2 linked regions of the Sus scrofa genome follow. The protein of the gene in region 2 interacts with the protein of the main gene of each other region in a pairwise test. Links are inferred from orthologs where the notes say so. Each region holds a gene or a part of one and is shown on either strand. Other genes may lie near its edges. The genes, in order: RASSF2 and RASSF5.

What was found.
Region 1: the proteins of RASSF5 (region 2) and RASSF2 interact in binary tests that used the Homo sapiens proteins (3 or more experiments, as listed by UniProt). The link is inferred for Sus scrofa from reciprocal best matches to the Homo sapiens genes RASSF5 and RASSF2.

What each region holds. Positions count from the first base shown.
Region 1 is NC_010459.5:13,819,256-13,825,552, forward strand, and holds the start of RASSF2 (ras association domain-containing protein 2), read right to left. Parts: upstream 3,475-6,297; 5' UTR 3,309-3,474; intron 3,120-3,308; exon of another isoform or gene 2,804-3,119; intron 1,890-2,803; exon of another isoform or gene 1,839-1,889; intron 1-1,838. UniProt on the Homo sapiens protein: Potential tumor suppressor. Acts as a KRAS-specific effector protein. May promote apoptosis and cell cycle arrest. Stabilizes STK3/MST2 by protecting it from proteasomal degradation.
Region 2 is NC_010451.4:67,180,036-67,185,708, forward strand, and holds part of RASSF5 (ras association domain-containing protein 5), read left to right. Parts: intron 1-3,728; coding exon 3,729-3,850; intron 3,851-5,673. UniProt on the Homo sapiens protein: Potential tumor suppressor. Seems to be involved in lymphocyte adhesion by linking RAP1A activation upon T-cell receptor or chemokine stimulation to integrin activation.

The sequences.
Region 1 (6,297 bases), on a different chromosome or scaffold from region 2:
CCTGCCCCGTTTCTTAGTCTGGGTAGAGGAGGAGAAATGCAGATAAACCCTGAGACTGTTTTGGGATCATCCAGTCTCCCAGGCTCTCTGAGGGATTCTCTCACAATCTGGTCCCATCTCCTCATCCCACCTCCCAGTGAGAACACTTCCTGCCAAAAGCATCCTAGAGAGGACTGAAGGAAATAATTAGGCCCCGGTCCTTTTGTGCTTTGGTGACAGGACCTCTTTCTGGCAAGTCTAGCCCTTGGCACTCCTGCAGAGGTGCCAGGATACTTGGTCCTGGGCACCTCTCCAACCACCTCTCTTGGCCATTCCTAAGCATCTCACGCATGGAAGGCAGACAAGAAGGTTGGCTCTGGAGCACCGGAAAATAGACCAAGAAACCAAAGCAAAACCCAGGGACCGATCAGTTCCAGGTAGGCCAGGATACAAGAGCAAGGAGGAGAAATGAGGGATTGAAAGCAAGGTGTAGGGTTGTCTACCACCTGGGACCAACCCCTAAGATAACACAACCTGGAGAGAGGACCTGAAGCCTAAAACAGAGAAGCCATGGAGAGATGCAGAGAAGTGGACTCTGGGGCAGAATGAGACCATCCGCAGGAAGATGGGGATGCTGCCAGCTGGAAGAACAGCACCGGGTAAAAACGGCTCAGGCCCTGGCCCACTCAGCCAAGTGTACTCCCTGAAAGAGGGTATGACTAGGGACCCCGATCCTCCTCTTAGCCAGGCCACCCAAAGGCATCCCTCATCATTCTAACCAGATTTCACAAGCATAAAAATGAATAAAAATAAGGACAGAGGAACGTGGAAAATGCCTAGGCTGCTCTCCAAATATCCTATCTCCTAAATATTCCACATCTGCTCTTACACTGGTTTTTGTTTTTTGGTTTGTTTTTTTTGTTTGTTTGTTTGTTTTGCTTTTTAGGGTCACACTTGAGACACATGGAAGTTCCCAGGCTAGGGGTCAAATCAGAGCTGCAGCTGCCAGCCTACACCACAGTCACAGCCACAGCAACACCGGATCCAAGCCATATCTGCAACCTACACTACAGCTAGCAACAATGCTGGATCCTTAACCCACTGAGAAAGGCCAGGGATGGAACCCACATCCTCATGGATACTAGTCAGATTCGTTTCCACTGAGCCACAGTGAGAACTCTGCTCTTCCATCTTCTGAAGGAGGAGCAAGACTCACCTTTCAGCCTACTCTGCGCAGGGAATCATGAACTGAACCAGCACAGACTCCCATTTGCCTGAGCAGACTGCATGCTCTTTCATCTCCTTTTCCCAGGGCAAAAACTAGCTTCTTTCAAGCTACCCTACCTCTCCAAGCTCAGCCATCATTTGAGGCCCTCTTGTACAACCCCCCCACTCCCACCCCACTGAACTGTCACAGCTGCCAGGCATCAGGCTGGCCTATTCAAATGAGAAAGCACAGCTGGTGCCCACAGTCATGGCCCCACTCCAGGGTCTCTTGATTCCAAACCGGCACCTCTCAGACTGACACTGCATTTGGACACAAGTTTTTGCTTTAGTTTTTTTTTTAAAAAGGGCTCTCCTCAAAGGACACAATATAGCTTAGCTATGATAATTCCTCAGACCACCTGCAGAAAAAGTTCCAAGTAAAGTAAATGTGAATTTAGGAGTAAAATAAATCCAACCCTGGATTCCTCAATCAGCTGTTCTGGAAAAAAGGCCCAGGCTCTGTCCCACAGCTGTTTAAAAGAATCATTGTTTCTAATTCTTTCCTCCCATTGTACTAAGATCAACTGTGACAGGAATTGTTATTTGTCAGTTCATTGGCTCATTCATTCATTCATTACATGTAAAGTACTTACTATACACCTATCCAGCTGTAGAAACGGCCTCTGTTCTCTGGGAGTATAAGTTCTAGGGACCCAGATTCCGCCCACCTGGGAATAAAGTGCATTGCAGCGTTCAGAAGCCTGGCGCTCAGCTCCTGCCACCGAGGGGCAAAGGTGCGGTGAACAACCCAGGGCCCACAAAGAGCCCCAGGAAGATTGAACCCACCCTCTGTCTCCCCGGTCAGACCACCACGCCTCTCTGCTGTCCCCAGGGCTCTGCCAGCTTAGGAGTTGAGTACAACGCAGGCGCTCAAAATGCAGAAGTGGCCCGGTCGGCCCAAAGCAATTGCCTCTCGGGTGAGAGAAGACGCAGAGGTTCCCAACGACCTCGGATATCAACTCTGGAGGCGGCCCGGGAGCCGGCAAAGAGGAAGTGCCACGAGGACCCAGGGCCCCTAGGCGTCTAGCGCCCTGCTCTAGGCTGGAACCCTCCAGCGAAACGTGCCTTGAACGGGTTAGAAGGAGACAAGATTGGGGTCGGACACCCTCCAGGGCTGTCGGGGCCTGCCATCCTGGCACCTGCCACCCAGCACCTTTTCTCCAGGGTTTCCTAGGGACCTCGGGGATGGGGCGGGAGTGCCTTCCTGACGTCGCCCTTGGCCCGGAGAGAAGGATGGACCCCCAAAGGTCGGAGGGGGAGGCGAGCCCGGAGCCACAACTTTCTCCGGCGAAAGGAGGGCGGGCTGGTGCTCCGCGCCCTCGCTGCCCCTGGGGAGTCCGCACGCCCGGGAACCCCCAGCCTCTGGTGAAGGAGGGAGGAGAATAGCGGCAGACCAGGACTGAGGGGCTGACTTGGACGGGACAGGGGACACCGCGGGAAAACTTTCGGCGAGGCGGAAGAGGGACAGAGGAGAGAGGGCCGCCCAGTGCACCACACCTCGCGCCCCGCAACTCGCCCCCGGAGCCTCGCTCCCCGCGCCCAGCGCCCGGAACCTTGCCTGCGTCCCGAGCCGGCTGCATCTCGCGCGCGCTGCGGGGACCGTGGAGTTGGAAAGTGGGAGTGCTTCGGCCGGGTTTGGGGGGCTGCTCGGCCAGCGGTCGGCGAGCCCGGCTCACTTCCAGCGGGGCTGAGAGAGCTGCAGCCGCGCAACTGGGGGTCGGGCGCCCCGCCCCCTTAGCACCACCACCCCCAGCCCCTCCTCGCTCGCCCGCCCCTCTGCCTTTATCTGCCCCTTTCGGGTCAGACCGCCCTCCCTCCCCGCCTTTCTCTAGCTCTTCTCTACCCCCACCCCACAGCCCTCGCCTTTCTTCTTCCCCCTCCACTCCCGCCCTCCTTCCCTCCCCCCCCGGGGGGGCGGGGCTTCTCCCCTCCCTCCCAGACAAAGCTGTGGCTGCGCGTCCCCTCCTTCCCCGCCCGCGAGTCGGGGCTCCGGCTGCCAGCGCCTCTTCCGGCTTTGGGTGGCGGGGTAGAAGTGAGGGGGTGGGGAAGATGAGCTAGCTCACCTCTCCCCATTCTCTGCGGCCCCTCTCCGAAAGGGACGAGGTCTTGGCCCGACGCGCCGGGCGGTGACAGCCACTTCCAGAGTACAGTCACGCTGCCCTGAGAAGGCCACTCGAGCGTCGTGGATTCTTCAAGCGGAGGATGTGGGGTTTTTTTTTTTTCCTAACACCTGCTTGTTCCAAAAAGGGTTTGAGCTGAGCAAGGCGGAGGAAGTGGGTTTTTTTCTAACACCTGCTTATTCCAAAAAGGGTTTGAGCTGAGCAAGGCCCCTTGGACTTCGCAGGGTGGCAGACGTGACAGCAATGTGAAGGAGGGCAAGTTTCTTTGTCCTCTTCTCACCTCCCCCTCTTAGCCATCCCTAGACCTCCAGGGGCTCTCAGTGCACAGGAAGCCCTGGAGCACCCTAAATGCGGGGAGCCTTAGCTGTTCCCCTGCTCTGATCGCAATTCCCACTCCCCGCCCCCCAACACACACACTCCAGCCCTCCAGAGTTGGTCCCCAGGCTTTTTGGGGTGAATGGGGGACTAAGGGTTAATGGGTAGACAACCCTCAGGGTACAGCTGGGTCAGCTCATCCCTCCTGGAAGCCAAACGTTCTTTATAAATTCATTGTTTGGATCTTGGAATGTGTCTCCCTTAGAAACAATGTTGTAAATGGTGATGTGCTTCCCAGGCTGGCCACAAAAGTCTTTTGAACCCGAAATGCAGCTGAAGATTTGTGCTGAAAACTGTGTCAGCCATCCTGGAACAAGGAGACCACTGATCAGTCTTTTCTACAGGAAAAAAAAAAAAAAAAAAAAATTTTTTTTTCCTTGAGCTGTATAAACACAAAGTTCAATCATTAATTTCCCCTCTCCCACCCCACACTTTGGAATTACTACTCTGTATTAATTAAGCTTCTTTGCTTTGCAGGTAATAGGAACACTCTAAGGGGAATGTATTATGAGGACATGAGAATTTCCCTATAACTTCAGGGTCAGAACTGCAGGGAGAGCTCGGTAAGAGGCAAATCCAGAAACTGGGGGACTTCCAATAACCCAGAAAGCTGAGAATCCAACTCTTCTCTTTTATCACAGATTGACCTTCCCTGCACCCCAGACAAATGACAAAGGGTGGCCATCACTTCATCATTGGGGCTTAGAAATTAAGAAATTTCTTCTTGTTGAAGAAAGCAAACTCGTGGAACTAGAATCTCTTAGTCTCTACTCTAGTCTCCCAGGAAAGCAGCTCATTGGCTCATGTTGGGTCAGGTGACCATCCTATGACCAATCAACTGGGGCCACAGGTGGGCTTACATTGTCCAAATTAGACTGCAGGGAGCCCTGACCTGTTTTTTAAAATACAGATCCAGCGTTGCTGTGTCTGTGGCATAGGCTGGAGGCTGCAGCTCCGATTCTACCTCTAGCCTGGGAACTTCCATATGCCGGGGACCTGGGCCTAAAAAGAAAAAAAGAAAAAAGAGTCCAGTCCTCTCAGAGTTCCTGCTATTGCACAATGGGATCAGCAAAGTGTTGGGAGCGCTGGGATGCAGGTTCAATCCCTGGCCCAGCACAGTGGGTTTAAGGATCCGGCTTTGCTGCAGCTGCTGCATAGATCTTAATTTCACTCGGATCTGATCCTTGGCCCGGGAATTCCATATGCCCTGGAGCAGCCAAAGGAAAAAAAAAATTCCATTCCTTTCCTCTTAAATTTTTTCATCTTGGCAAATGAATTGATTGATTTGTTTGAGACATCAGAAAACATCTTACTTTTCATCAGTTTCCCCATACAGAAAGCACAGGAGAGAAAGGAATAGGCCTTTATCCTTCAAGGCAGTATAGGGACAATATTTCTGTAACAGGGGTATTATTTTGCAAATATTAAACTGATCTATTTAAGCCCAGCCTTAAACCATGTTTTCTTGCAGACTCCACCCTGAGGGACTGGGAAGCAGATGGCCCCAGGGAAGCAGAAGAAAAGTGTCCCTACAACTATCCTCCAGTAGAAATACAATGCGTGCCACAAGTACAATTTAAAACTTTCTAGCCACATTAAAAATAGTAAAAAGAAATAAGTGAAATTAATATTTTATTTAACCCAACAGAGGCAAAATATTACCATTTCAATGTGTTAATAGTATAAATTATTCACTAATAATTTTGCATTCTATTTTTGTACTAAGGCTGAAATCGGGTGTGTATTTACACTTCAGAACATCTCAATTTGGACATTACATTTTCGTCAAAAATACTTGATATGGGAGTTCCCGTAGTGGCGCAGTGGTTAACGAATCCGACTAGGAACCATGAGGTTGCGGGTTCGATCCCTGCCCTTGCTCAGTGGGTTAATGATCCAGCGTTGCCGTGAGCTGTGGTGTAGGTTGCAGACGCGGCTCGGATCCCGCGTTGCTGTGGCTCTGGCGTAGGCCGGTGGCTACAGCTCCGATTCAACCCCTAGCCTGGGAACCTCCATATGCCGCGGGAGCGGCCCAAGAAATAGCAACAACAACAACAACAAAAAAGACAAAAGACAAAAAAAAAAAAACAAAAAAAACTTGATATGTACGTAGGTTTAAAAAATTTTTCACTTGAAAAATTATATTCACATGCCCACATTTTTTCAACATATTAAAGTTTCTCAATAACTGGAGTATCAATTTTTAAATTTAAATTTTAATTTTAATTAGGGCTACATAAACTTAATATTCAGTTCCACTAGTCACATTTCAACTGCATAATAGTAACATGTGGCTAGTAGCTACTATATTGGGACAACACAGGTTTGGAGAGCAAGGAGGTTACTGATGAGCTTGAAGCCTCAAAGCCTACTTCCCTTTTCTCTTTAGCAAAGCAGTGACAGAAATATCAAGCATGGTCAGAGAAAATGATTTTCCAGTTTCCTTATGGCCCCCTATAACATCTCAAGAGGCAGGCTTTGCCTACCTAGATCGGGTTCTGCTTTACGCCTGGGAAGAAGCAAGCGATGCAGAGAGACGGGGAGGCCAAAAGCCGCC
Region 2 (5,673 bases):
GGGCTTGGCAGCACCTCAAGAGGAGCTATCTTGTGGGAAAGATGGCCCGTGCAGGTTCAAGCACTGAGTCCCAGTGGAATGCGACCCTGACCTGGGACTCTCACAGGTGTCCCCACTCAGGGCACGTGAGGCGGGGCCTGCCTCTGTGTGCAGAGCAGGGCATGGGGACTCTGACTTCATCTTGGCTGGCCTAAAAGCCCGGGGCTTAGTTAGCATTTCTAGGGGCCAGGAAATATCAAGCCATGCTTCCGTGGTTTTGCGACAGTCTGTGATTACACGGTCAGATGGGACAGACCCACTAGTGCTCAAATGTGCTTTTTATACAATCCCGAAGCACCCCTCTTGGAGTCTTCTGGGTCCTAACTCTGTCCAGCTCAGCATCAGACCTGTTTAAAAAAACAAATACAAAAACAACAACAAAAAAATCTCCCAAGGGTTTTGGTGCTGTTTTCAGAATATGTGTGTGTGTATGTCTGTGTGTGTGAGAGCGAGATAGACAGACAGACATGGAGAGATTCAGTTGCACAGATGGACACAGACCGCCTGCTGACATGGAATTGAAAGAGGAGACAGGAGAACTTTCTCCTCTCCCCAGACACTCTCCCCTTTGGCAGCTGGTGGCAGCTCTCACTCCTGCTTCCCACTTGGCATCCGCAGAGCATTCTTCATCGCTCAGAGCGTGGCCAGGAGCTGCACAGGTGTGTCCCGGAGTGGAGCCGGGAACAATGCTGCCCTGTGTGGGTTCTGGCCTTGGCGCTCCCTTATCAAAGCCCTGGCATTTCTGGGCACTGTGGGCAGGGAGACTTGGCCTGCACAACCCCCCGTGCCCTTCACCCGGTGCCTGGGTCTCCTGCTGGGGGCCCAGGAATGCGAGTGGCTGCTGGCAGGGGTGCGGTCCTCCACCCACCCCATCTCCAGTGGGAGCACAGCTTCTCGGGAGAAGAATCAGGAAGTCTAGGCAAGGTTGGGGTCTGAAGGAGGGGATGTCAGTGGACTTGACCTGCAGGCACAGGGGAGGTGAGCGGTAGGGCTTCTAAATGCCACCCTAGGAAGGTGGTCAGGACTTCAGACCATTGAGTCAGAGGGTTGCTGGGTTCTGGGATCCCTTCCTGTCCCTGCATTGGCCAGGCGCTCCCCTGAAAGTATTAAGATCAAGAAATGTGAGCCGGGTGCTCATCCTTGGGGAGGTAAGAAAGGGGGCAGCTGGGGAAAGTGGGGTTCTCCTTCCAAAACGCTCCAAAAGAGTGGGGAGACCCACCCACTGCCACCCTAAGAAAGACTGTGCTACAGCAGCTTTAAAAAGATGATCCAGGGAGTTCCTGTTGTGGTGTAGCAAAAACAAATCCAACTAGTATCCATGAGGATGTGGGTTCGATCCCTGGCCTCGCTCAGTGGGTTAAGGATCTGGCGTTGCTGTGAGCTGTGGTGCAGGTCGCAGACAGCGCTTGAATCCCTTGTTGCTGTGGCTGTGGTGTAGGCCAGCAGCTGTAGCTCCGATTGGACCCCTAGCCTGGGAACCTCCATATGCCGCGGGAGCGGCCCTAAAAAACAAAAACAACAACAAAAAGAGGGTCCCCAGGTGCTGTGGTTCTGGAGCTTGTTAAAAGGAAGGAAAAGAGGGAGCTCCTTGGTGGCCTAACAGTTTGACCCCTGGAACTTCTACATGCGGCAGGTGTGGCCCAAAAAAAAAAAGGGGAGGGGGGAGTTCCCTTCATGGCTCAGTGGTTAACGAATCCGACTAGGAACCATGAGGTTGCAGGTTCGATCCCTGGCCTTGCTCAGTGGGTTAAGGATCTGGCATTGCTGTGGCTGTTGGTGTAGGCTGGCAGCTACAGCTCCGATTGGACTCCTAGCCTGGGAACCTCCATATGCCGCAGGAATGGCCCAAGAAATGGCAAAAAGACAAAAAAAAAAAAAAAAAAAAAGGAAGGAAAAGAGTGTCAGGAGACTGAGCCCAACATAAAGCTGTCCCTTCGTCCCCAGATTATCCAGACATGTCCAGGCTGTCTCCTGCCACAAGCCCTGCCCACCCCAGCCCACCCCTATGTACCGGGTGACACGGTCCAGCAACCTTCTCATTAAGACTCTGGCAGCCTCCCTCAGCAGGGCCTTCTGGCTGAGCTGTGGCACCTCCAGGGCTGGTGACCCTGATGGGCCCAGCAGCTTCTGTGGGAACCAACCTCCAGCCTGAGCCTTGTGCCTGCTGATGGGCTTGGACGGATTTCTTTCACTGCCAACCTTTTTTTCTCTCCCATCCTCCCTGCCTTCACCTGCCCCAACCTCCCGGCCTCCTGTCCCCTTCAACTTCACCTCCCTTCTGCCAAGGAGGCTTCAGAGAGGGCCCTTGGGGAAGCTGGAAACTGCTTGCAACCTTGGCTGTGCCACTGAGCCGTGTGTCATTGGGCACCGTGCTTTACCTCTCTGGGCCTCAGTTTCCCCATCTCTGAGGTAACCCCCCATGGTCTGCTGAACACTGGTCATTGTCTTACTTCCATGGATGTGAAACAAATGTGTGCTTTCCTCCAAAGCCTCATTTGGAATGTTGTCTGCAGGCCATGTCAGCCAAGTTAGAGGAGCCACCTCGCATTTCTAGATGGCACTGTGTCAGAGAGACGTGACAGCCCTTCCTGTTGGTGATCATGCCTTTGTCCCTGGAGAAACCTTTAATTTGTTGGGGTTCTTTTTGTTTTTTGGGTATTTTGTTTTGTTTTGTTTTTTGTCTTTTTAGAGCCTTACCTGTGGCATATGGAGGTTCCCAGGCTAGGGGTCTAATCGGAGCTATAGCTGCCAGCTTATGCCACAGCCACAGCAATGCAGGATCTGAGCCGCGTCTTCGACCTACACCACAGCTCATGGCACGCTGGATCTTTAACCCACTGAGAAAAGCCAGGGATCGAACCTGCAACCTCATGGTTCCTAGTCGGGTTCATTTCTGCTGCGCCACAACACAGGAACTCCCACCTTTAATTTGTTAAGACCCGTTCTCCTCTATAACTGTAATCATCCTTGTGCACCAGGCAGGGCCATTATTACCTGTTTTACAGCCTGCAAAACAAGGCCAGGAAAAGTTAAGTTCTTCCACAGGGATTGGGGCCTCTGATGATTAACATCAATTAGTAGAAAGAGCACCAGCCTGAAGCCAGATGATCTGCCCTTGAGAAAGTCACCCTAGGCCCCAGTTTCCTGTCGGCAAAGTGGCGGTAATCATGGTTGCAGGGTCACACACAATAATGGAGGTGGAAACAGTTTACATACTGGGAGCTCCCATTGTGGCTCAGAGGTCATGAACCCAACTCGTATCCATGAGGATGTAGGTTCAATCCTGGCCTTGCTCAGTGGGTTAAGGATCCGGCGTTGCCATGAGCTGTGGTGGAGATGGCAGATGTGACTTGGATCTGGAGTGGCTGTGGATGAGGCTGTGATGAAGGTCCACAGCTGCAGCTCTGATTTGACCCCTGGCCTGGGAACCTCCATGTGCTATGGGTACAGCCCTAAAAAGAAGAGGAAGACAAAAACAAAAAGGAGATTGCAAATTCTAAACAAAAACTAGATTGCAAACTGTAAAGCACCTATTCACCTTCCCTACTCATGGTAGTTCAGAGAGAGCGAGTCATTCTCATGGTGTTCTTCCCCCTCCACCGCCCTCCAGGAGCTACATGCCGCCTCCCAGGGCCTTTTTCTGGGCCTCCTGTCTGGCCCCTAATCCCTCTGCGGTTCTCTCCCTCCAGACTGCAAATTCACCTGCCACCCTGAGTGCCGCAGCCTGATCCAGCTGGACTGCAGTCAGCAGGAAGGCTCCTCCCAGGACAGACCCTCTCCAGAAAGCACCCTCACTGCAACCTTCAGCCAGGTAGGCGGGAGGGCTCGAGCTCCAGGTTGGCGACAGCCTCCTGAGGTGCCCCCAGGTTCCCCTGTCCCTCCCAGGGGCTCTGGGGAGCATGGGTGGCGAGAGTGTTCCATGTACGCTGGATGTTGGGGGTCCCCTTCTGGCCAGTTGGGGTCCATAGCACACTCTTCGAGTCTGCGCCCAGTTCCAATGTGGGGGGTTTCCCCACACCACCACCCTCTGACACCCAGTGGGTGCCCTGTAGTTCAGCTCAGTGCTGTACTCTGCACCCCCCACCCACCACCTCAGATACCAGTTGTAAGAGTATGTTGTCACCCATGCTTCGGACCAACAGGCTGTAGGTGGGAGGTTGCCACAGCTCTGTCTTTGGGCTCAATGCATTTGTTAGAGCAGCTCACAGAACTCAAAGAAACATTTGAAACTTACTAGATCGCCAGTTTATTATAAAAGGATATAACTCAGGAGCAACCAGATGGAAGAGATGCAGAGGGCCAGGTGGGGGAGGTGCACAAACTTTCATGTCCTCTCCAGAGGTGCCCTCCCTGCTCCTCCCCATGTTTCCCAACCCAGAAGCTCTCTGAGCCCCAAACTTCCAGGACCTTACAGAGGCTTCATTATACAGACATGATTGATCAAATTGTTGGCCATTGGCGATTGATCCACCCTCCGGCCTCTCTCTGTTCCCCAGAGGTCAGGGGCGTCCATCTGAAAGTTCTAATCCTCTCATACTTGGTTGGTTCTCCTGGCAACTAGCCTGCATCCTTAGGTGGGATCCAAAAGTCACCTCATGGAATTCCCATCTTGACTTAATGGTTAACGAACCAGAATAGTATCCATGAGGACGTGGGCTCAATCCCTTCCCTTGCTCAGTGGGCTAAGGATCTGGTGTTGCCATGAGTTACGGTGTGGGTTACAGATGTGGCTCGGATCCCACATTGCTGTGGCTGTGGTGTAGCTACAGTAGCTACAGCTCCAATTCAACCTCTAGCTGGGAACCTCCACATGCCATAGGTGCGGCCCTAAAAAGACAAAAGACAAAAAAAATTTAAAAATAAAACCGACAATTTTAATTTTAAAGAAGTCACCTCGGAATTCCTGTCATGGCTCAGTGGTTAACGAATCCAACTAGGAACCATGAGGTTGCAGGTTCGATCCCTGGCCTTGCTCAGTGGGTTAAGGATCTGGCGTTGCCATGAGCTGTGGTGTAGGTTGCAGACGCGGCTCGGATCCTGTGTTGCTGTGGCTCTGGCGTAGGCCGGCAGCTACAGCTCCGATTCAACCCCTAGCCTGGGAACCTCCATATGCCTCGGGAACAGCCCAAGAAATGGCAAAAAGACCAAAAAAAAAAAAAAAAAAAAAAGTCACCTCATTAACATCACAAGAAATACCTTTGGTGCTCTCATCATTTAAGAAGTTCCATTGTGCCAAAAATGGAGACAGAGATCAAATGTGTATATCTCTGATTATTAATCACAGTATCAGAGTTCTCGTTGTGGCACAGCAAAAACAAATCCGACTAGGATCCACGAGGATGCAGGTTCAGTCCCTGGCCTCGCTCAGTGGGTTAAGGATCTGATGCTGCCTTGAGCTGTGGTGTAGGTCACAGACGAGGCTCAGATCTGGCATTGCTGTGGCTGTAGGCCAGTAGCTACAGCTCCGAATCGACCCCTAGCCTGGGAACCTCCATATGCCGAAAGTGTGTCCCTAAAAAAAAAAGGCAAAAAAAAAAAAAATCACAGTGTCACACATCCTTTCCAAGAGGCTGGGGAAGCGGAATAGCATCGGTGACACAGGGAAGCCTGTCATTATTCAGAAGTGCCCTCCCT